3 linked regions of the Saccharomyces cerevisiae S288C genome follow. Changing the gene in region 1 together with any one later gene gives a genetic interaction. Each region holds a gene or a part of one and is shown on either strand. Other genes may lie near its edges.

The links. A genetic interaction does not mean that the proteins touch.
Region 2: mutations in USE1 (region 1) and YKL063C together harm fitness more than expected from each alone (negative genetic interaction), as found in Saccharomyces cerevisiae (one large-scale study listed by BioGRID).
Region 3: mutations in USE1 (region 1) and RDR1 together harm fitness more than expected from each alone (negative genetic interaction), as found in Saccharomyces cerevisiae (one large-scale study listed by BioGRID).

The regions. Positions count from the first base shown.
Region 1 is NC_001139.9:313,508-321,326, forward strand, and holds USE1 (SNAP receptor USE1), read left to right. Parts: upstream 1-3,834; coding exon 3,835-4,572; downstream 4,573-7,819. Other genes in the region: SEH1 (Seh1p), read left to right, coding at 1-776; ribosome biogenesis GTPase LSG1, read left to right, coding at 1,124-3,046. UniProt on the Saccharomyces cerevisiae protein: SNARE required for targeting and fusion of Golgi-derived retrograde transport vesicles with the ER.
Region 2 is NC_001143.9:318,015-324,227, forward strand, and holds YKL063C (uncharacterized protein), read right to left. Parts: upstream 3,505-6,213; coding exon 3,001-3,504; downstream 1-3,000. Other genes in the region: putative Mg(2+) transporter MNR2, read left to right, coding at 1-2,659; stress-responsive transcriptional activator MSN4, read left to right, coding at 5,214-6,213.
Region 3 is NC_001147.6:1,048,685-1,055,930, forward strand, and holds RDR1 (Rdr1p), read left to right. Parts: upstream 1-2,605; coding exon 2,606-4,246; downstream 4,247-7,246. Other genes in the region: AMF1 (Amf1p), read left to right, coding at 827-2,374; FRE3 (ferric-chelate reductase), read left to right, coding at 6,861-7,246. UniProt on the Saccharomyces cerevisiae protein: Transcriptional repressor of multidrug resistance genes, such as PDR5. Required for growth on non-fermentable carbon sources like lactate or glycerol.

The DNA of each region.
Region 1 (7,819 bases):
AATGCTCTGGCCGTCGTTGGAACAAGCTGTGTACCCTGAATGATTCCAAAGGATCACTTTATAGTGTAAAATTTGCGCCAGCGCATTTGGGCTTAAAATTAGCTTGTTTGGGTAACGATGGAATCCTCAGACTTTATGATGCCTTAGAACCTTCTGACCTAAGGTCATGGACACTGACTTCTGAGATGAAAGTGCTATCTATACCACCAGCAAATCATTTACAGTCTGATTTTTGTCTCTCTTGGTGTCCTTCGAGATTTTCTCCTGAAAAGCTCGCAGTCTCTGCATTGGAACAAGCGATTATATACCAAAGGGGTAAAGACGGTAAACTTCACGTTGCAGCAAAACTTCCCGGTCATAAAAGTTTAATAAGAAGTATCAGCTGGGCTCCTTCCATTGGTAGATGGTATCAACTCATTGCAACAGGTTGCAAAGATGGTAGAATTAGAATTTTCAAAATCACAGAAAAACTAAGTCCCCTGGCCTCAGAGGAGTCTTTAACTAACTCAAATATGTTTGATAATAGTGCTGATGTTGACATGGATGCACAGGGCAGATCAGACTCAAATACCGAAGAGAAAGCTGAGCTACAATCAAACTTGCAAGTTGAACTTCTAAGCGAGCATGATGACCATAATGGCGAAGTTTGGTCCGTGTCTTGGAATTTAACGGGTACAATCTTAAGCAGTGCTGGGGATGATGGGAAGGTACGTTTATGGAAAGCCACTTATTCAAATGAATTTAAGTGTATGTCAGTAATTACTGCCCAACAATAAATAAGAATATATGTATACATAACATTATATATTGGTACTTTATACGTGTGCATTATTCTGTATAATACGAGGCAACAGATGAATCAAGAAAGATGATGCTTTTAAAAAGCTCTTACAAATATAATGATATTACATCAAATGATATTATTATTCTTGATATTGGGTATTCTTTCGAATTATATCAAGCTTCCCTTCCCTCGCCTTTTCGCCTGGAAATTTTTCAATGCCGAGATTAAAAAATTTGTCAATGAAAATGCATTCTACTACTTAATAAAGAGGTGATGAGCTTATAAGCCAACTTCTTTTAAACACAAAACTAAATCTGATATTGAGGACCCCCACCAACTATGCCACCAAAAGAAGCTCCCAAGAAATGGAAGGCGCCAAAAGGGCCAAAACCTACCCACCGTAAAAATAAAAATAAGCTTGAATTAGGCAGAGCTATTAAATATGCACGTCAAAAAGAAAATGCCATCGAGTATTTACCTGATGGTGAAATGAGGTTCACTACCGATAAGCATGAGGCCAACTGGGTTAAATTAAGATCTGTAACTCAAGAATCAGCTTTAGATGAATTCTTGAGTACAGCTGCACTGGCAGACAAAGATTTCACGGCCGATAGACATTCAAATGTTAAAATTATTAGAATGGATAGCGGTAATGATTCTGCGACATCTCAAGGGTTTTCTATGACTAATGAGCAGCGTGGAAATCTTAATGCGAAGCAAAGAGCGCTTGCTAAGGATTTGATTGTTCCAAGGAGGCCTGAATGGAACGAGGGCATGTCCAAGTTTCAGCTTGATAGGCAAGAAAAGGAAGCGTTTTTAGAATGGAGAAGAAAATTGGCACATTTACAAGAAAGCAATGAAGACTTGTTGTTAACACCGTTTGAAAGAAATATCGAAGTTTGGAAACAGTTATGGAGAGTTGTTGAAAGATCAGATTTAGTTGTTCAAATTGTAGATGCGAGGAATCCGTTGCTGTTTAGATCTGTCGATTTAGAAAGATATGTAAAAGAGTCAGATGACAGAAAAGCAAACTTACTGCTAGTTAATAAAGCAGATTTATTGACCAAAAAGCAACGTATCGCTTGGGCAAAGTACTTTATCTCCAAGAATATTTCGTTCACGTTTTACTCTGCATTGAGAGCTAATCAATTATTGGAGAAACAAAAGGAAATGGGGGAAGATTATAGAGAACAAGATTTCGAGGAAGCTGATAAAGAAGGGTTCGATGCTGATGAAAAAGTTATGGAAAAAGTTAAAATTCTGTCCATTGACCAACTGGAAGAATTGTTTTTATCAAAAGCTCCAAACGAGCCTTTATTGCCACCTCTGCCCGGTCAACCTCCACTGATTAATATTGGTTTGGTTGGTTATCCAAATGTAGGTAAATCCTCCACTATTAATTCGCTCGTGGGTGCCAAGAAAGTTTCTGTTTCATCCACGCCTGGTAAAACAAAACACTTCCAAACTATTAAGTTATCTGATTCTGTCATGCTTTGTGACTGTCCCGGTCTTGTCTTCCCAAACTTTGCATATAACAAGGGTGAGCTCGTGTGTAATGGTGTTTTACCTATTGATCAATTACGTGATTATATTGGTCCAGCAGGTTTAGTAGCAGAAAGAATACCAAAGTATTACATTGAAGCGATTTATGGTATCCATATTCAAACCAAATCAAGGGATGAAGGTGGGAATGGGGATATACCAACTGCTCAAGAATTGTTAGTCGCATACGCCAGAGCTCGTGGTTATATGACTCAAGGTTACGGTTCTGCTGATGAACCAAGAGCAAGTCGTTATATATTGAAAGATTACGTCAATGGGAAATTACTGTATGTCAACCCTCCGCCCCATCTAGAGGATGATACACCTTACACTAGAGAAGAGTGTGAAGAATTTAACAAAGATTTATATGTGTTCGACAGATTACCGGACACCAGAAAGGAGCAAGTGCAAAATGCTGCTAAGGCTAAAGGCATTGATATCGTGGATTTAGCTCGTGATTTGAATCAGCTAACGTTTTCAGCTCACACTGGTGGTGACACACAAAAAGAAGCCAAATCTGTTACGCACGGTGGTAAACAAGCTGCATTGTACAATGCCGCTGAGGACTTGGATAGAGACTTCTTCAAGATGAACAACGTCGAAGGTAGATTAAGTACACCATTCCACAAAGTTCAAAATAGTTCAGCTGGTAAGAGACATAACAAAAAAAACAAAAGTAAAAATGCGAAAAGCAAAGTTTTTAGCATTGAAAATAATTAGCGGTAACTAACATATATCTTCTCAAAAAAACTGTGTACTATTATCTTTTCATCTCGCCAATTAATGACAGCGTTATTTGAGAATAGACCTAAGATAATAAAACTATGTTCGTTACCCGGACAAATTTTCTTGGAAGAATTTTTGAGTCCTAGAGATATTATAAAACGGCCCTCTATTAATTTGCTCTTTCTTTCCTCAGTTTAATTCTTCTTTCGAATAAAAAATAAAAATATCATGGCTCTTCAACACATTTCAACATGTTCAAGTAATTTGTGTTAGTGGATGACCATTTAGGGGCTGCTGGCCTGGTTACCGGGAGTTTTTCTTGGATCCAAGCTAGCTTTTCCGTCTGATTATCCTTAAGCTTCACAAATTACAATTTTTCCCACGCATTAAGAAATAAGCTCAAGATGCCTAAAATAAGTTCTATCCCGCCTTTTTTCGCTAACAATGACTGAGTATTCCCACAGTCTATAGTTTGATAGTAGATGGGCGGAAATTTTTCTCATATATTTACTTTTTATAGGAGAGTATATTTACGTACGTATAGTGATTGCATGTAGTTGCTCCCTATATCTTGTCATATGAGCGTGATACTGACCGATACCTGTTACAGATGTCGGTCTGGATTTGTTCGTTTTTCTTCCCTAAAGTAGGTCAGTATATATAAAATATGGCCGGAGGAAAGCTTCACCACTTTATCACCACTAAATTTATAAAGTAGAATACAATTTCAACATACACAGAGAATAAAAAAAGGTTGACAGGACACATAATAGCAAGGCAAGATGGCTGAAACTTCCAACGACCCCTTTCTGTCCTACGTTTTGAGTAGCAAACAATTAACTAATTTGAATCGTCTACGAAGGAAAGCAGTTACAAAACAACTGGGATCAAGTGACGACAATAAGGTCTCAGAGGAGTTTTTGAGGTATCAACATACTTATCAAAGAGAAGCATTTGAATATCTGCAAACAAAACATGACGCCCACAAAATAATGGAGTCACAGTACGAACAGTACCAAAGCAGTTCAAAAACAAGAAGATATAGTATCGATTTAGATTCTGTAGATGCAGTTGACACGGAATCGCAAACAGAATACCCAAATGAGGAGTTTATTGATAGAAACGAAGATAGCGAAGCTGTTATGGAGTTGAGAAAGAGATTGTTGGGGAAGGGACAGAATAAGGGTTTAGGATATGAAACTACGAAATCAGTCGATAGGCAAATTGAGGACCAGGACACGTTGCAACAGGATTTGATTCAGGATATGAGCAAACTTGTGGGCAGTTTGAAGCAAGGAGCTGTGGCATTTCAATCAGCACTTGATGAAGATAAGCAAGTTCTTGGAGCTGCAGAGATAGGTATTCAAGTTGCTTCTCAAGGTTTAATGGATGTTAGCGGTAAATTAAGGAAATATGACAAGAGTAAATTGAGTTACTTGTTTTATATTACTGTTTTCATTTTTATGATTCTCGGACTGGTGTTTACATTTATCATAATTCAATTATTCCCGGCCCTATAATGTAATTATAACGATGGAATGATGTTTTTTGGAAGAAAAATTCAACTGTTTATTAATATTTACGGCATTTTTTCATGTAGTTGAGATTATTCCTATTGAAAAAAGCAAATTGTGAGAAAAAAGTATACAATAAAATTTGTATAGGCTGCAGAATTCTCCTTTCCGTATAGTTGCCTACTTCCCGTCTCAAACTGAATCCTGCTATCTGATTGCTTTCTGTGTTGGTGCGGTGAATCTTTTTATACATATAATATTTGAAAAAGAATAAACATTTGAGAAAACAAAAGTAGCTAAACAAAACGACAAAATCATAACATTTCCTGATCTGACTGAAAGCTAATAGAACAGCAGTGTTCGATGAGGGTAAAATAAGGAGGGGTCTTCGGTTACGTTATACTAGTAAGTTGATTTTGATTTTAAGTCATATTATTGAACGCATTATGATGATACTCATAATGGACTAAATTTTTCTCATGTATAAGGTCCATAGTAGCCAAGTGCATTCCATTACAATGTTATTGATATTATCTGTGCTCTCAAATTCGGCTGAAGAAAACTACTACAAACACAACACATCAAATAATGTAACACAGCCTTGCTTATTGCCGGTGTAAGGGTCGACTATCTTCGATCTACTCATATTCATATTATCAATTTATTATCATATATGGTATAAGAAAATGACATGAACATTGAGAAACAACCAATAGATTAATTGGAAGCTGAAATGCAAGGATTAATAACTTGATAAATGGAAGTTAAAAGATAGTATTAATGATGACTAAATATGGATTCTGTTATCCTTGTATAAGAGAAGTATAAAACAAACACCAATTGGTTTATTATTCTCTTTTCTTCAATTATAATCAGTACAATAATGGCTCCAGCAGCTGTCACATATTTTAATGATGATTTGCGCATATATAACAGAGATAGGTTTAAATAATTTAATAATTGTTGGGATTTCACAACTATTGAAGGCTATAATATTATGTATAAAGAATATACCAGGAAGTCAACTCCCAGACCTTGAAATCCTCAAAATGAAGACGATAGTTTTACATAATAATATTACTTTTTCTTCTTTCCTTCTATATTTCTCCTTCACATTCATATTACGCTGACAATCTTTGCATTTCAGCTTCCACCAAGCCTGATCACCGTTTACCAATATTTGTGTCATTTTCTTATACCTCAGGTAATAATAAACTAGCAACCTGAATAATATCAAATAGACGATATGTTAAAGTTTCATTCTAACAATTACCACCCATTCCAAAATATCTATTGTTAGAGAGGCGTTAATAGAACAACACAACACAAAAATACTGAAGGTCAAAGTTTGTTGTATTACGGGCTCGAGTAATACCGGAGTGTCTTGACAATCCTAATATAAACGGTCTTAGGGAAGTAACCAGTTGTCAAAACAGTTTATCAGATTAATTCACGGAATGTTACTTATCTTATATATTATATAAAATATGAATCATATTAAGTGGTGGAAGCGCGGAATCTCGGATCTAAACTAATTGTTCAGGCATTTATACTTTTGGTAGTTCAGCTAGGGAAGGACGGGTTTTATCTCATGTTGTTCGTTTTGTTATAAGGTTGTTTCATATGTGTTTTATGAACGTTTAGGATGACGTATTGTCATACTGACATATCTCATTTTGAGATACAACAAAGTTCATAAAGAAATTAGCCATCTTAGTATAGTGGTTAGTACACATCGTTGTGGCCGATGAAACCCTGGTTCGATTCTAGGAGATGGCATTTTTTCCGAAATTTCGCCTTCTCGCACAACTTTCCAAACCCGACCAAGAGAAGGAAGAAATCATTTTTTTTGTTGCGAGTTGTCATAGAACGAGGTCGAGAAACAGAAGAGGAATTGAAAATGAATTGTAAAAGCGTTCGTTCTATGCCTCTAATAAGAGAGTACGTCTTGCTTGATGTGAACCCAAATGCCCACAAAACAGTACGATTTGCAGTTATGTAAATTTGTGGTTTGTCTCCTGGCAAAAAGAATGCATTCGTACTGCACATAATTGAAATAAGGATGTAGTTCAACTTCTATGAATGCTCGGCGATACGATATGTAGAGGGGACAAAAATATGTAGGTATCCTATGGTAAATAAATCGGTCTGTTTTAAAACCTGTTTTAGTGCAGCTTCTTTCCACGAAAGAAATAGTGTAAGTTAGAGGTACTTCTCTTTTACCTAAAGGAGGTGTAGTTATGATAAAAAGCGAAGCTAACTAAGACAGCTAAGCTCTTTATGTTGATAGTTAAAAGTTAACAGGTTGTATTAATGAAGAATGAATATGGATCTTTTTGTACTTATATAACAGAGGTATAAACCACATGCCGATTGTTTCATTATTATATATGGCTAATATAATGGTGATTCCGGCAGCTTCATACATTTAATGTGACGACTCATATTGCTCTTATATGTGACTTTCAGATCTCATTCAATTAATAGACTCTTAACTCAAATTCAGTACTTTCTGACATGCTCATTTACATTTCCTTTTGTAATAGTGCTTCCATACTTCATCGTATAGGATTTAAACATTTAGATCGTTACCATAGTAACTCATGTTACTATTAAATACCGCTCGTTTCAACACATTATATAATACTTTGGCATTGATACGCCACATAATATTCTAATTTCTCTTCAACACATAAGACAAACAGGGCAAATCAAGCAACAGGAAGGTATTTGCTTCTTAATGGCAAAACAGGTTCAGTTCCACTAAATAAAAAGGGGAAATTTACGTGTCATTTATTATGGGTTCAGAAATTATGTGTTAAGTAAAACACCTATAGCACTGGGGCAAATTCCGGCATCAATTTCAACGCCACCAAAATTGTGTGCGATAATAATTGTGACCCCATCATGGAAATGAGCCTTCAGCCAGAGACGGAAAAACTCTTGAAAGGAATACTGATGGATTTATAGGTTCGGAAAATAATAATAATAAAAAGCCGTGTTGGACATTATCCCTCCCGTTGCTCGCGGTAAATTCTTAAGGCCATATTTCAGGTAGGAACCATCGTCAACAATTGCTACAACGTTTTGTAGTCCCCAAGATTGAAATACAATAGCAGTTGAAAGAGAACTACCTAAGATAATTCAATGAGGCAATTACTGATTATTCCTGACAGAGTGTAAAATATTTGCAAGTAAGAGAATCGGAACAGAAAATTTAGATATTATGAGAGTCTTCCCTCGGCAGTAACGA
Region 2 (6,213 bases), on another chromosome or scaffold:
TGATATAATAAAAAGTGAGGATCCATCGCTCAAGGGCGCGTTCATTGATCATAGACCTTCAATGAGCCAACCTAGGGAGGGGCCTCAAAGTGTATCAAGCACAGTTCAACCACAGCCAATAATGAAGTTTTCAACACCAAGTTACAAGAAACCCGCAGGGTTAAGACCCTCTGATCAGAATAGATCATTAGTATCGGACTTATCCCCTTCAGAGCTTGAATCATGGCTGAAGAGAAGGAAATCTGTTCATAAGAGTTTTGTTGACGAAAACTCCCCCACCGATAGGAGACAATCGAACGCGAATAATGATGTCGTGATTGATGTTGATGCGTTAATGAACCATGTTAACAACAATGCAAGTACTGGGGTTAATGATAACAGCAAGAGAAGAAAGAAAAAGAGGGGTTCTGATGATAGTAGCAACAAAAATTCCAAATCCACATCCAGTGATTCAAACGATGAAGAGGATGAGTATAACTCAAGGCCATCTTCTAGTCTTTCTTCAAATAACTCTTCTTTGGATGACGTTTGTTTAGTGCTTGATGATGAGGGTAGCGAAGTGCCAAAAGCTTGGCCTGATTGTACTGTTTTGGAAGAATTTTCCAAGGAAGAAACAGAGAGACTAAGAAGTCAAGCTATTCAAGATGCTGAAGCTTTCCACTTCCAATACGATGAAGATGAGGAAGATGGAACATCAAATGAAGATGGAATTCTTTTTTCAAAGCCAATCGTAACTAATATTGATGTCCCTGAATTGGGAAACAGAAGGGTAAACGAAACAGAGAATTTGAAGAACGGCCGTTTAAGGCCAAAAAGAATTGCGCCATGGCATTTGATTCAACGTCCAATGGTCCTTGGGTCCAATTCAACCAAGGACTCAAAATCAAGAATTCAAAGCGGATTACAAGATAACTTACTAGTCGGCAGAAATATTCAATATCCTCCGCATATTATTTCTAATAACCCAGAACATTTCAGGTTCACTTATTTTAGGGTGGATTTGGACTCTACTGTTCATTCTCCGACAATATCTGGTTTACTGCAACCTGGTCAAAAATTTCAAGATTTATTTGTCGCTTCTATATACTCCCAAGATAATAGCGCTGGTCATATCAAGACACATCCAAATTCTCCAACACCTGGTATAAAAGCAGAAACTGTATCTCAACTCCAGGGATTGACAGCTAAAAACCCTTCCACTTTATCGTCTATGTCTGTGGCAAATATAGAGGATGTTCCTCCATTCTGGTTGGATGTCAGCAATCCTACTGAAGAGGAGATGAAAATATTAAGTAAAGCTTTCGGAATTCACCCTTTAACTACAGAAGATATTTTTTTGGGAGAAGTTCGTGAGAAAGTGGAACTATTTAGAGATTATTACCTGATTTGTTTTAGAAGTTTCGATATTGTAGCAGAAAAGCATGTTCGTCGGAGGAGAAAAGAAAAGCAAGAATCTGCTACCTTGGATCATGAAAGTATTTCACGTCGTAAATCACAAGCCTATGGTGCTACTATGTCAAATGAATCAAATGCAAATAACAATAACAGTACAAGCAATGCAAGTAGGAGCAAATGGCTTCCATCGATTTTACGTGCACGCCGTCGGTCATCTGCAAATAGAACAACCAATACATCATCATCAAGCTATAAACGCCGTGTCAAAAGCGAAAAGAAAAAGATGGAAGAGAACGAAAAATTCAAAAGAAAATCAGGAGACAGGCACAAACCACGTGAGGGAGAATTAGAGCCATTGAATGTTTACATTATTGTTTTCAGAACTGGTGTATTGACGTTTCATTTTGCTCCCACACCACATCCTATTAATGTTCGAAGAAGAGCAAGACTACTAAAGGATTACCTTAATGTTACCTCTGATTGGATTGCGTATGCCTTAATCGATGACATTACAGACGCATTTGCCCCTATGATAGAACTTATCGAAGATGAAGTTTATGAGATTGAGGACGCCATTTTGAAGATGCATCAGTCAGATGATTCTAGTGATAGCGATTCTAGCGATAGTGATTCCGATTCGGGCGCTAGCGATGAGGATGCATTTCCGTTCGATGTCTATTCTAAAAAGACGTCCTACTCTAGTGCAAAATCTAGTGTGAGTTCAAGAAGTATGAGCACTTCTGAAGCGTCATTCAATGCAAATTTGATAGGTTGGAAGAGAAAAGGAGATATGTTGAGGCGGATTGGTGAATGCCGTAAAAGAGTGATGAGTATACTAAGATTGCTAGGATCCAAGGCTGATGTGATAAAAGGATTTGCCAAAAGGTATAATGAGCAATGGGAAGCTTCGCCACAATCTGAAATCGCAATGTATTTGGGTGATATTCAAGATCATATTGTAACCATGGTCTCATCGCTAAACCATTATGAAAAACTGTTAAGTAGATCGCATTCAAATTATCTGGCACAAATCAACATTGATATGACGAAGGTTAATAATGACATGAACGACGTTTTGGGAAAAATTACCATACTGGGTACTATTGTTCTGCCAATGAATGTGATTACGGGTCTGTGGGGTATGAATGTTATCGTGCCCGGACAATACAGGGATTCGTTGACATGGTTTATAGGCATTGTGCTTTTTATGTGTATGCTAGCATGTTCTGCATATATGTATACTAAGAGAAGATTCGGGTTTTAATTTAAGTGTTTTTTCGCGCATTAGCGCTTGCTTTTCCTTCGATTTTAATTATCAGCCTAAATTATTGTTGTCTTTCCCGAAGGATAGAATTGTAAATTATCAGCGCCGTATCGTATACTTGTGGTGATAAATATCTTTAATCTATTTATGTTTTTTTTTTTTTTTTTTTTCGTGTCTGGTTTCTACATGTTTGTGAACGTTCTGCATATCTTTATGTACGTACACAGTATGTTAGTATGCACTTATACTATACAAAGAATAAGGGAGGTGAGGTTAATCAATAAGGTTAACGTAAAACATTTATTATTTTCATCACCAAACTGTTGGAAGTTTTGAATTGGTTAATTATCAAGGATTTCATTGTTAGCCAAATTTTCCTTGGCGAGATCTTGTTTCTCTTTCTGGAGTTGCTGTTTTTGTTCTTTTTTGTCCTTGTTTATTTGTTTTTGCTTTTCTGAATCAATTTGTGGTTTCAAATCGTTCTCCAAATTCTTTACTTCTTGTTGCTTTGCGACTTCATTATTGAACTTTTCTTTAGGTACTTTAGCTTGTTGTGGTTGCTTATTGTTAGTCGCATCAGCTGCACCGCCGGCTGCAATATTGGTATGATCGCTTGCACTTGCAGAAACATCAGAAGAATGGCTTTCTAGCTTGATCTCAGTTTCTTTATTCAGATCAGAATAGGCAACTTTTATAACGAAATAAACGCCACATAACAGTATAATGTATACTATAATCTTTTTCATAGGGGTAGTCAGATAACCGCCCCTTCTTCTGGAATTATATTTGCTTCCTGTTTTATAACGAGGTAAAAGATCTTTTTTCCTTCTGATATCGCCCTGCATATTTTCTATAATTATGAATCACTTTAGTTTGATTTATATTTGCTCAGAATACCCTAGCTTTATCTATATAGTACTACTACTTTGGAGGGGAGGAACGTATGTTGGAAGGCAATAGCACTCTGGTAAAGTGCTAACTCTTAATGTTAATGACGAAATCACTTTTTTTGCCTTTCTGAAAGATTGGAAGACTGTCACTGAGAAATTCGCTATTCTTTTCTTTTTCTTCGTGTTTTTTTTTGTTAGAATACTGCACAGCTTGCTATCCCGCTGCACAGCTTGCTATCCCGCTGCACAACATGAAATTGCTCACGTCGTGCCAAATTACATATAGGTGCTTACCCTGTTTATATTTTTTGCCTTCATAGCGGAGTTTTTAAGGGTAGCCCTTATGTTTTTAGCGTTCATTTGAACGAATGGCTAACGCTAAACGGAGAAGAGAGGAAAACAAGGCCGCTGGCGTTATTGCGCGTAAAAACAGGAGATAAGCACTGTTTAACATACATTTCATTGAAAGCTTAAAGCCGCAAAAGATGAAGGGTTTTCAAAATTTTCATCTCTTGCAGTATAAGGATGCAGTGAATCTATCTACAGACAGTTGATAAAAACGTCTACCTTGCCTAGTGTACCCAGCTGCTGTCAACTTCTTTCCTTAGCGCGTAAAGAGCTATGTTTTCGATAAAAGATGCAACATAAATGCTACGATGTAAGGCACCCAGGACCTCTGAAGGCAAAGAAGTTGTGAAATTTGAAAAATAATCGCTCAAAAAGGAATAATTGTCAAGCGTAACGATTTTTTTGATTTTCCGAAATCAGGGGAGGGGAAAAGAAAAGGGGAAGGGGTCTCCTCACAGGTATTGTGAGCTCCAAGCAATCATTTTGCCAGCACTAGGAAATAATAAAATGAAAGAAAAAAACATACATAGAAAGTGCCGCTCCGGGGCATTTTGAGCGCGGCAAAAAAAGCCCGAAGATCCGTTCCTCGAAGGAACGGCAACCGCACACCAAGAAAAAGGGAAAAAGGTGGGGTTGGCTGTAAAGTACGAGCGCGGGGACGGATCCGTAACAATTTCTATGTGGGGCCAGCAGCCGGCTGCTGGTGGGTACTGTTGTACGAAGCGGTTGGTAGCGATGACAGTGGCCAGGGCTGCTAGGCATGGTGCCGTGAAAACCCAGCGCAAATGTCAGGCTGCAGGAACCGGCTTTCTCCCACGAGGTTTCACTGCTGGCGGCGTACTGGTCATTTTTAGAACCTGAAAACCCGAGCTAGAACTAGGACTCTTGAGCAATAAGGTTTGCGCATTGCTATTCTCCGGATAAACCAAACCCACCCTTTTAAGAGCGTTTAACAAAGGTCTCTTATCTATCAAAAGTATTATGGCTATTTCTGGGATTCCGCTTGCGGGCCTTTCTACCCTCTTGATGCTACACATGTTTCCCTTAGATGCATGAGCATACCTGTAGGTACTTAAATTTTATTTTTATGCATCTTATTTCTGTCTAAATTTGTATATAACAAGCAACTGCAGTTCTGTGATGTGTTTTTCGCAACTGGTCAACAGGCTTAAGAATTTTTCCGTCTCTTTCCGTTTTATTTCCAGAGAATTAACATTTATAGAGAAAAGAATTAAAACGTGAAATTTCCTTTTTGAATATTTAACGCCTTTATCAGTTCGGCTTTTTTTTCTTTTCTTCTTATTAAAAACAATATAATGCTAGTCTTCGGACCTAATAGTAGTTTCGTTCGTCACGCAAACAAGAAACAAGAAGATTCGTCTATAATGAACGAGCCAAACGGATTGATGGACCCGGTATTGAGCACAACCAACGTTTCTGCTACTTCTTCTAATGACAATTCTGCGAACAATAGCATATCTTCGCCGGAATATACCTTTGGTCAATTCTCAATGGATTCTCCGCATAGAACGGACGCCACTAATACTCCAATTTTAACAGCGACAACTAATACGACTGCTAATAATAGTTTAATGAATTTAAAGGATACCGCCAGTTTAGCTACCAACTGGAAGTGGAAAAATTCCAATAACGCACAGTTCGTGAATGACGGTGAGAAACAAAGCAGTAATGCTAATGGTAAGAAAAATGGTGGTGATAAGATATATAGTTCAGTAGCCACCCCTCAAGCTTTAAATGACGAATTGAAAAACTTGGAGCAACTAGAAAAGGTATTTTCTCCAATGAATCCTATCAATGACAGTCATTTTAATGAAAATATAGAATTATCGCCACACCAACATGCAACTTCTCCCAAGACAAACCTTCTTGAGGCAGAACCTTCAATATATTCCAATTTGTTTCTAGATGCTAGGTTACCAAACAACGCCAACAGTACAACAGGATTGAACGACAATGATTATAATCTAGACGATACCAATAATGATAATACTAATAGCATGCAATCAATCTTAGAGGATTTTGTATCTTCAGAAGAAGCATTGAAGTTCATGCCGGACGCTGGTCGCGACGCAAGAAGATACAGCGAGGTGGTTACCTCTTCCTTTCCTTCTATGACGGATTCTAGAAATTCGATCTCTCATTCGATAGAGTTTTGGAATCTCAATCACAAAAATAGTAGCAACAGTAAACCCACTCAACAAATTATCCCTGAAGGTACTGCCACTACTGAGAGGCGTGGATCAACCATTTCACCTACTACCACTATAAACAACTCTAATCCAAACTTCAAATTAT
Region 3 (7,246 bases), on another chromosome or scaffold:
CTTCAGGAGCCTGCTTGCTTCTTTGCAGCTTCGGCAATTTGGAACCTTGTGTGCATATCCTCGTTTGTAAGCCCAGAAGCACACAGACATCGATCACATCTATAATAGGAGCATGCTATCATAAAAGATTCACAGTATTCGTATAATTACATGGCAGACTTTTTGAAAAGAATGGTATGGAACCAAGTGAGCGCCTAGAAAAAAAGCTGAAAAGCTGAAATCTTAATTGGATAAGAAACTTCAATAACATTTTTCACGCGTTTCTTTTTCAACTAGATTAGCCTTAACAAACGACAATCATCGAGTACCCACGCTCATTACGCTGAACGTGCAAATGTAACGGGGTGGAAACCTAAAACGTTGAATGAACTAGCCAGAACGATGACAATTGCGGCAAGCTTTCCATACGTGTTCTGTTGTTGCGGCTTAGAGTGGTAGGTAACCGCGCCAAGCAAAATTACCTACCACTTTAAGCCCAAAAAGGTGATGTGTAGCTATTGCGGCTGTGGCGGCTATTGCGGTTGTCGCCACGCTTGTCGCCAGGGTTGTCGCTACGAATGTTTCAGCTTTTTTTTCAATGGGCCACTCTTTTCACGTGAAGCGCTCCACGAAATGTGCGGATATTGCGGAAGCTCTCAATGATGAGCTATCGGTAGGGATTAAAATAAACGAGATTTGGCAGCAGTTTTAAATACCAAGGGAGTAGTATATCTAGCCTCCAATAACTTCATTTGTGGAAACTTACTTCTATCTCACTCTCTACCTGAAAAGAAAACAAATATTGTACATTCATCAATTGCTGGAACATAAAGAACATAAAATCAATATGTCAACTAGCTCCTCCGTAACGCAGAAAAACTTGGATACAAACGCGGAAGCCTTGAAAAAGGAGGATAAAGTATTATCAGAGTTTGATATTCAGGATGAGAGGCCTAAATCCCTTTTATGGGAGAGTGCCTTTGTCGGAGTGCTGTGCTCTGCCCAACTAATGACTCAGGCAGGACTTGGACAATCATTAGCGCCGCTTCACATCATCGGTAACAGTTTTGGAACAACGAATGCTGGACAACTTAGTTGGTTTGCTTCCGCATATTCGCTAACTGTTGGTACATTCATTTTAATTGCTGGAAGACTCGGAGATATCTTCGGACACAAGAAATTCTTTGTCCTTGGCTTCTTTTGGTACGCACTTTGGTCCTTACTTGCTGGGTTTAGCGTCTACTCTAATCAGATTTTTTTTGACTGCTGTCGTGCATTTCAAGGCATGGGTCCGGCCTTTTTGTTGCCAAATGCCATTGCGATTCTCGGACGCACATATAAGCCAGGAAGAAGAAAAAACATGGTCTTTAGTCTGTTTGGTGCTTCAGCACCTGGTGGCTTCTTCCTTGGGGCTGTTTTCTCATCCATGTTGGGTCAACTGGCGTGGTGGCCATGGGCTTACTGGATAATGGGTATTGCATGCTTTGTTTTAGCTGTAGCAGGTTACTTTGTAATCCCTCACACCCCCATGCCAAGCCGCGATGCCTCATCTTTCAAGTTGTTGGAACGAATCGATTTTGCAGGGTCAGTTACCGGCGTTGTTGGATTAATTCTCTTTAATTTCGCTTGGAACCAAGGCCCCGTTGTGGGTTGGCAAACTCCATACACATACGCTCTTTTGATAGTTGGTACCTTTTTCTTGGTTATTTTTGCATATATCGAGTCCCGAGCAGCTTTCCCTCTGCTACCATTTGCTGCTCTTTCTAGTGATACTGCTTTTGTACTTAGCTGCATAGCTGCGGGATGGGCCAGCTTTGGTATTTGGATATTCTATACATGGCAGTTCATGGAAGACTCAAGGGGCCAAACCCCCCTTCTTTCTAGTGCACAGTTTTCACCTGTAGCAATCAGTGGATTTTGTGCAGCCGTGACGACAGGTTTCCTTCTAAGCCATACACCCCCAAGCACAGTTATGCTTTTTGCGATGACAGCTTTCACAGTCGGAACTATATTGATTGCTACGGCCCCCGTTCACCAAACGTATTGGGCTCAAACGTTTGTGTCAATCATTGTTATGCCTTGGGGAATGGACATGTCCTTTCCGGCCGCTACAATAATGCTTAGTGACTCGATGCCACACGAACATCAAGGTCTTGCAGCCTCTTTGGTTAATACGGTGGTAAACTATTCGATATCGATAGGTTTGGGTATTGCAGGTACAATTGAATCTAGAGTAAATGACGGAGGTGCCAAGCCTTTGAAAGGATATCGTTGTTCGTGGTACATGGGCATCGGGTTGAGCGGACTTGGCATTTTTGTCGCAGCAACGTATGCATGGAGCACTTTTATGAAGTCTAAAAAAAGGATCTCCGAAAAGCAGCATTTTATAGAATAAGTTCATATATAGAGAAATACTTCATCGTGGTATATAACCCAAACTAATAGAAATAAATATAGTACGATCAAAGTGATAGAGAGGAGCCAGTATATCCCGTATCGTGCGATAAATATGAAAATTACAAGAGGCCATTCTCGAGTGAAAAGATACATTATTTTTTCAAGTAGAAACCTGAAAGAACTTCAGTAAGATAACTTAGCGCACACTTTCCTACTTTAAGCTCACCAAATGGCATCCCCAGGATCGACAGCATTACCACACAAGCGACAAAGAGTCCGAAAGGCTTGCGTGCCCTGTAGGGAACGTAAAAGGAAATGTAATGGCAAATCTCCATGTGAAATGTGCGTTGCCTATGGATATGTATGTCATTATATTGACGGTCGTGTCCCTTCGGCATCACCTCAAGTGCAACAAGTAGGTGAAACATCTCCTGATACGGAGAGCAGACCTTTTGTTCTTCCGGGTATACATAGAAACGAACAACCGCAGCCTATAAATACACAGAACGTTACAAGTCAAAACATTGTAGATCCAACTAAGTCTAGGTACACGATCCAGCACTCTGCAGTTGCTTTCCCCCGCTGTCTTGGTCTCGAACTCCGATCAACTAATCCTCCACGCCTACATTCCTTCGCTTGGCATTGCGGAATCAGACCGGAAGAAAATCCAAACTCACATGTCCTTCTTTCTGATTTAGTTACAAAGGAAGAGTATTACCGTATCTCAAAAGTTTATTTTTCAGTTGTTCACCCGATATTTGATGTTGTTAATCCAGAGCAACTGGCAAAGAATGTTGAAAAATACTGGGATGGCGACGTAAAAACCTTAGAGTATGGGGCTGTTATTGCAGGGGTGATAGCTTTAGGATCATTTTTTATGGGAAGTCTTGGCCATCCCCGAGAGATGGATATAGTACAATATGCCAAAGGGATCCTTGATGACCCGACTTTCAGTCGCATTCCCACGGTGGAGCAAGTCTCCGCATGGGTTTTGCGCACCATTTACCTGCGAGCCACTTCGAGGCCCCATGTAGCATGGTTAGCTAGCTGCGTAACCATCCATCTTTCTGAGGCAATTGGCCTGCATCATGAGATTGACAGAGAGGATATAGCGATATCGAACAACGTTCCACCAAAAAGAACTACTGTAGTGAGCGAACACACTAGAAGATTATTTTGGTGTGCATGGTCAATCAATACCATTCTTTCATATGACTATGGGCGCTCAAGTGTTACGCTGAATAGAATTACTTGCAAGCCAGTTAAGGAGACGGACGGTAATTTTACAGCTCATTTAGTCGCGTTAGCACACCTGATTCCCCAAGACAGCGTGAACGCAAACGCAGCGCAATTGTTGCAGGCCCTGGCGGCCGTTCATGAATCACCAAACGCACATCCGTTTTTGTCGTTGACCAAGGGTGATATATGCCTCTCTTTGTATAGAAGACTTCGTTTGCTGAATCATATTCTTGATAAAAATGTTGTTTTACAAATAATTGATATCGGCAACACTGCGCTATCAGCAGCATACGCTCTTGTAAAACTGGATCAAGCATGGTGGAATGTGTTGAGCACCTCATTCCAGTACGTCTGTGTCCTTCTTGCCATCGACACACCGGAAAGTCTTTCACATGTTGCTACTGCCATGAAAACGTTAGATAATATTACTCAAATTCTCGGTACACGTATTGCTTTTGAAGCACAAAAGACCGCAAAACTGCTTCTTGAGGATTCCATGAAAAAAAAAAGACAAGAAATTCAGCAGCTTGAGCAGGCAACTCACCAGAGATCTAATCTTGAAACTACTCACCTACTCGATATTGACTGGGATGCTTTGCTAGATCCATCAGACACGTTAAACTTTATGTAAAAGAGTATTATAGATTATGTGTATCGAGAAGCAAATTGATTTATAATTAGAGGGAATGGAATTGATGTTTAATACCTGCTTACTATATTTTATCTTTGATAATTGCGCAGAAAGTAATATATCCGGTATTTGAAAATAGGAAATTTAAAGAAATCCCGTCACGCCTGGAATGAGGGGTGAAACCTTGACTGATATTATATTCTTTTCTTGGACATAGTGTCTGAACCAAATGCAAATTGCACTGCATTGCACCAAATTGATGGTTCAAGTTCGATCTATAAAAATACGAGAGAAGGTCTGACTGTTTATGTCAATACTCAAGAGGCTCAGGAACAGTGTTAAAGCTTGGAAGTTCAATTCATTAAAGAAAAGTTGATAACGTCAGGTGGAAAACCGAAAGATAAAAATAAAAGCAAGTCAAGATTTGAAGTATTGCTGAGCGAAATTTTGTTTGAGTGGTCCGGAAATTTTTATACACTTTATTAGTATTTGGTTTAGTGTAGGTGGGAAAGCTTAGAACGTATGTAGAAAAACATCCCTGAAGAGTTCTCTAGATCTTATCATCAGCAATAAAAGAATGCCGTTGTGACACTTAAATAGTCATATCACATGCGGATACACTTCTAATACACTAGTCTTCTTTCACTGCCCTTTATTTATAAGACTCATGTCCAGTCTATTTTTTTTTTAAAAAAAAAGACTTTCAAGCTTTTTACAACTTGATATTCTAATATGAATAATGAATAATGAATAATTTAATTAATTGTTTTGTTTAAATTTTGTTCGGTCTCGGCTATATTTGGAAGAAAAATAGCCAGTACATACTTTCTACCACTTTCGCTCAATTATCAATAAAAACATTTAATCGAAAGTCATTCAAACTGAAAACTTCAAAAGTCATTTTTTTATTGCTTCCCATTCCAATCACAATTATGCTTTGAGCCAATTTCAGTAAAACTTTGAAAATACGTAGGCGCATCGCATCGCCTAACTTAATTCGCGGTTTAACTAGCTTCCTCCACCAGTTCCATAAAAAAATGATGGATCAGTGCAAAAAAATTTTATCATAAATCTGATGAAGTATACTAAGCTGAATAAGCTGTAGGCCTTATTTGCTTTTTTCATACCCTTGGTTGGTACGACAGTAAAGATTGGCAGGTTCGGAGATACAACTTTTTTTGAGGCTTAGAATGCTCGGCCTGCATAAAATGGCGTTAAAGTTGCGCACAGGCCCCGGAAACCCTGCCAAGGAATATTACATAAGTTGCAACATCTTTTTCCAATACATGGTTAGAGAGTTTTTAATCGTTATACTTTTTTCTCATTTGATTAAAAAATATAAAATGAATTGCGAAATTCTTCTAGAAATGCGTTACTATTTTACGGTTGGCATTGCAAGATTATTATAACTACGAAGCAGTGTTGGAAAATATCATCTGGGAAGAAATTCCTATTTCTTGGGAAGAATTACATGTGCATAAAAAGATAAAACCCTCGATCACCCAAAATTGACTTTGCGACTAAAAAGTGATTTTTTCAGCATATTGCATTTCAAAAAGTCGTTGTTTAGCACAACTCATAGAAAATAAATACTAGTATGATTCGGGAATTATTTATCAGTTAATTATAGGAGTACAGCCTTTTATAGAGTTGGCGAAGATAGCCAAAAGATAAAAGCTTTGACGTACGTCTGTAAAAAGTGCCTTTTCTGATCGAATCCAGTTGCTCAGATATCCGGGAAGTTGTTAGCATTCATTGCTTTTCTGCACTATATCAGCATATGAATGCTTTCAGTATTTTAATTTTACCCTTTCACGAAGTACGCCAGAAAATGATTGGAAACGTACTCAAAAACAAAGCAGGAAATAAGCGACGAAAATTTTTCATTTCAATTAAGAGGTACTGAGCGGCTACTTAACTTTTTCTGCAGTAAGTAATGACAGAGTATCACTACAGAATTCTGTGCCTCCGGTCTGGGAATGCAGCTAGGGAGACAGCACCCTTTTGCTAATAATGCGCCGGAAATGAAACATTTAGATAAAATCTAAAGTTACGAAAACAATACACTTTGAGGGAAAGATATCAGAGAATTAAAAGCTGCAAAGAACTATGACAAATTAACCGCTTTGTTGACCCTAGATCATAGTTTACACTGCGAACGGGATAGTTGCAACCTCTTTTGTAAAATGCACCCATATCTCATTTTGCCTTTATTTCGGGTGTATAATAGGAGAAAAATTTGAATGGTAAAGAATAAGTCCCTTGCGAGTGTCAAGAGAAGCACAATTATTATTACTATTGGTGACGTGATTGAACTCGAGAATTTTCCTGGACCGATATTTGAGTTTTACGTGGAATGTGGGTGTACCTCATCTCAAAGAATTGGCGAAAAGCCAAACTTCTTAATTCTAACAAAAGCTACTGATTCGTTGGCGATGAAAGACTCTTTTTTTTGGCTGTCAGAAGCTTTCATCTTTGACATAGATGTACAGAATTTGATCAATTGTTTATATTAAAAGATTCGTCGCAACTTATATAAGGTGGCAAGAGAATGATTAACTTCAATTGCTGATGAACGTTCTCAATTCAAAAATTATAAGACACAAGGAAAACAATGTATTGGGTCCTCCTTTGTGGTTCTATTTTGTTATGCTGCTTGTCAGGAGCAAGCGCCTCCCCTGCTAAGACAAAAATGTACGGCAAGTTACCACTGGTTTTGACAGATGCCTGCATGGGAGTTCTCGGCGAAGTAACCTGGGAGTATAGTAGTGACGATTTATATTCCTCACCAGCATGTACATATGAACCGGCATTACAGTCAATGTTGTATTGTATTTACGAATCATTGAATGAAAAGGGTTATTCCAATAGAACCTTTGAAAAAACCTTTGCTGCTATCAAAGAAGACTGCGCATATTACACTGATAACCTTCAGAATATGACTAATGCAGATTTCTATAATATGCTGAATAATGGAACAACATACATAATACAGTATTC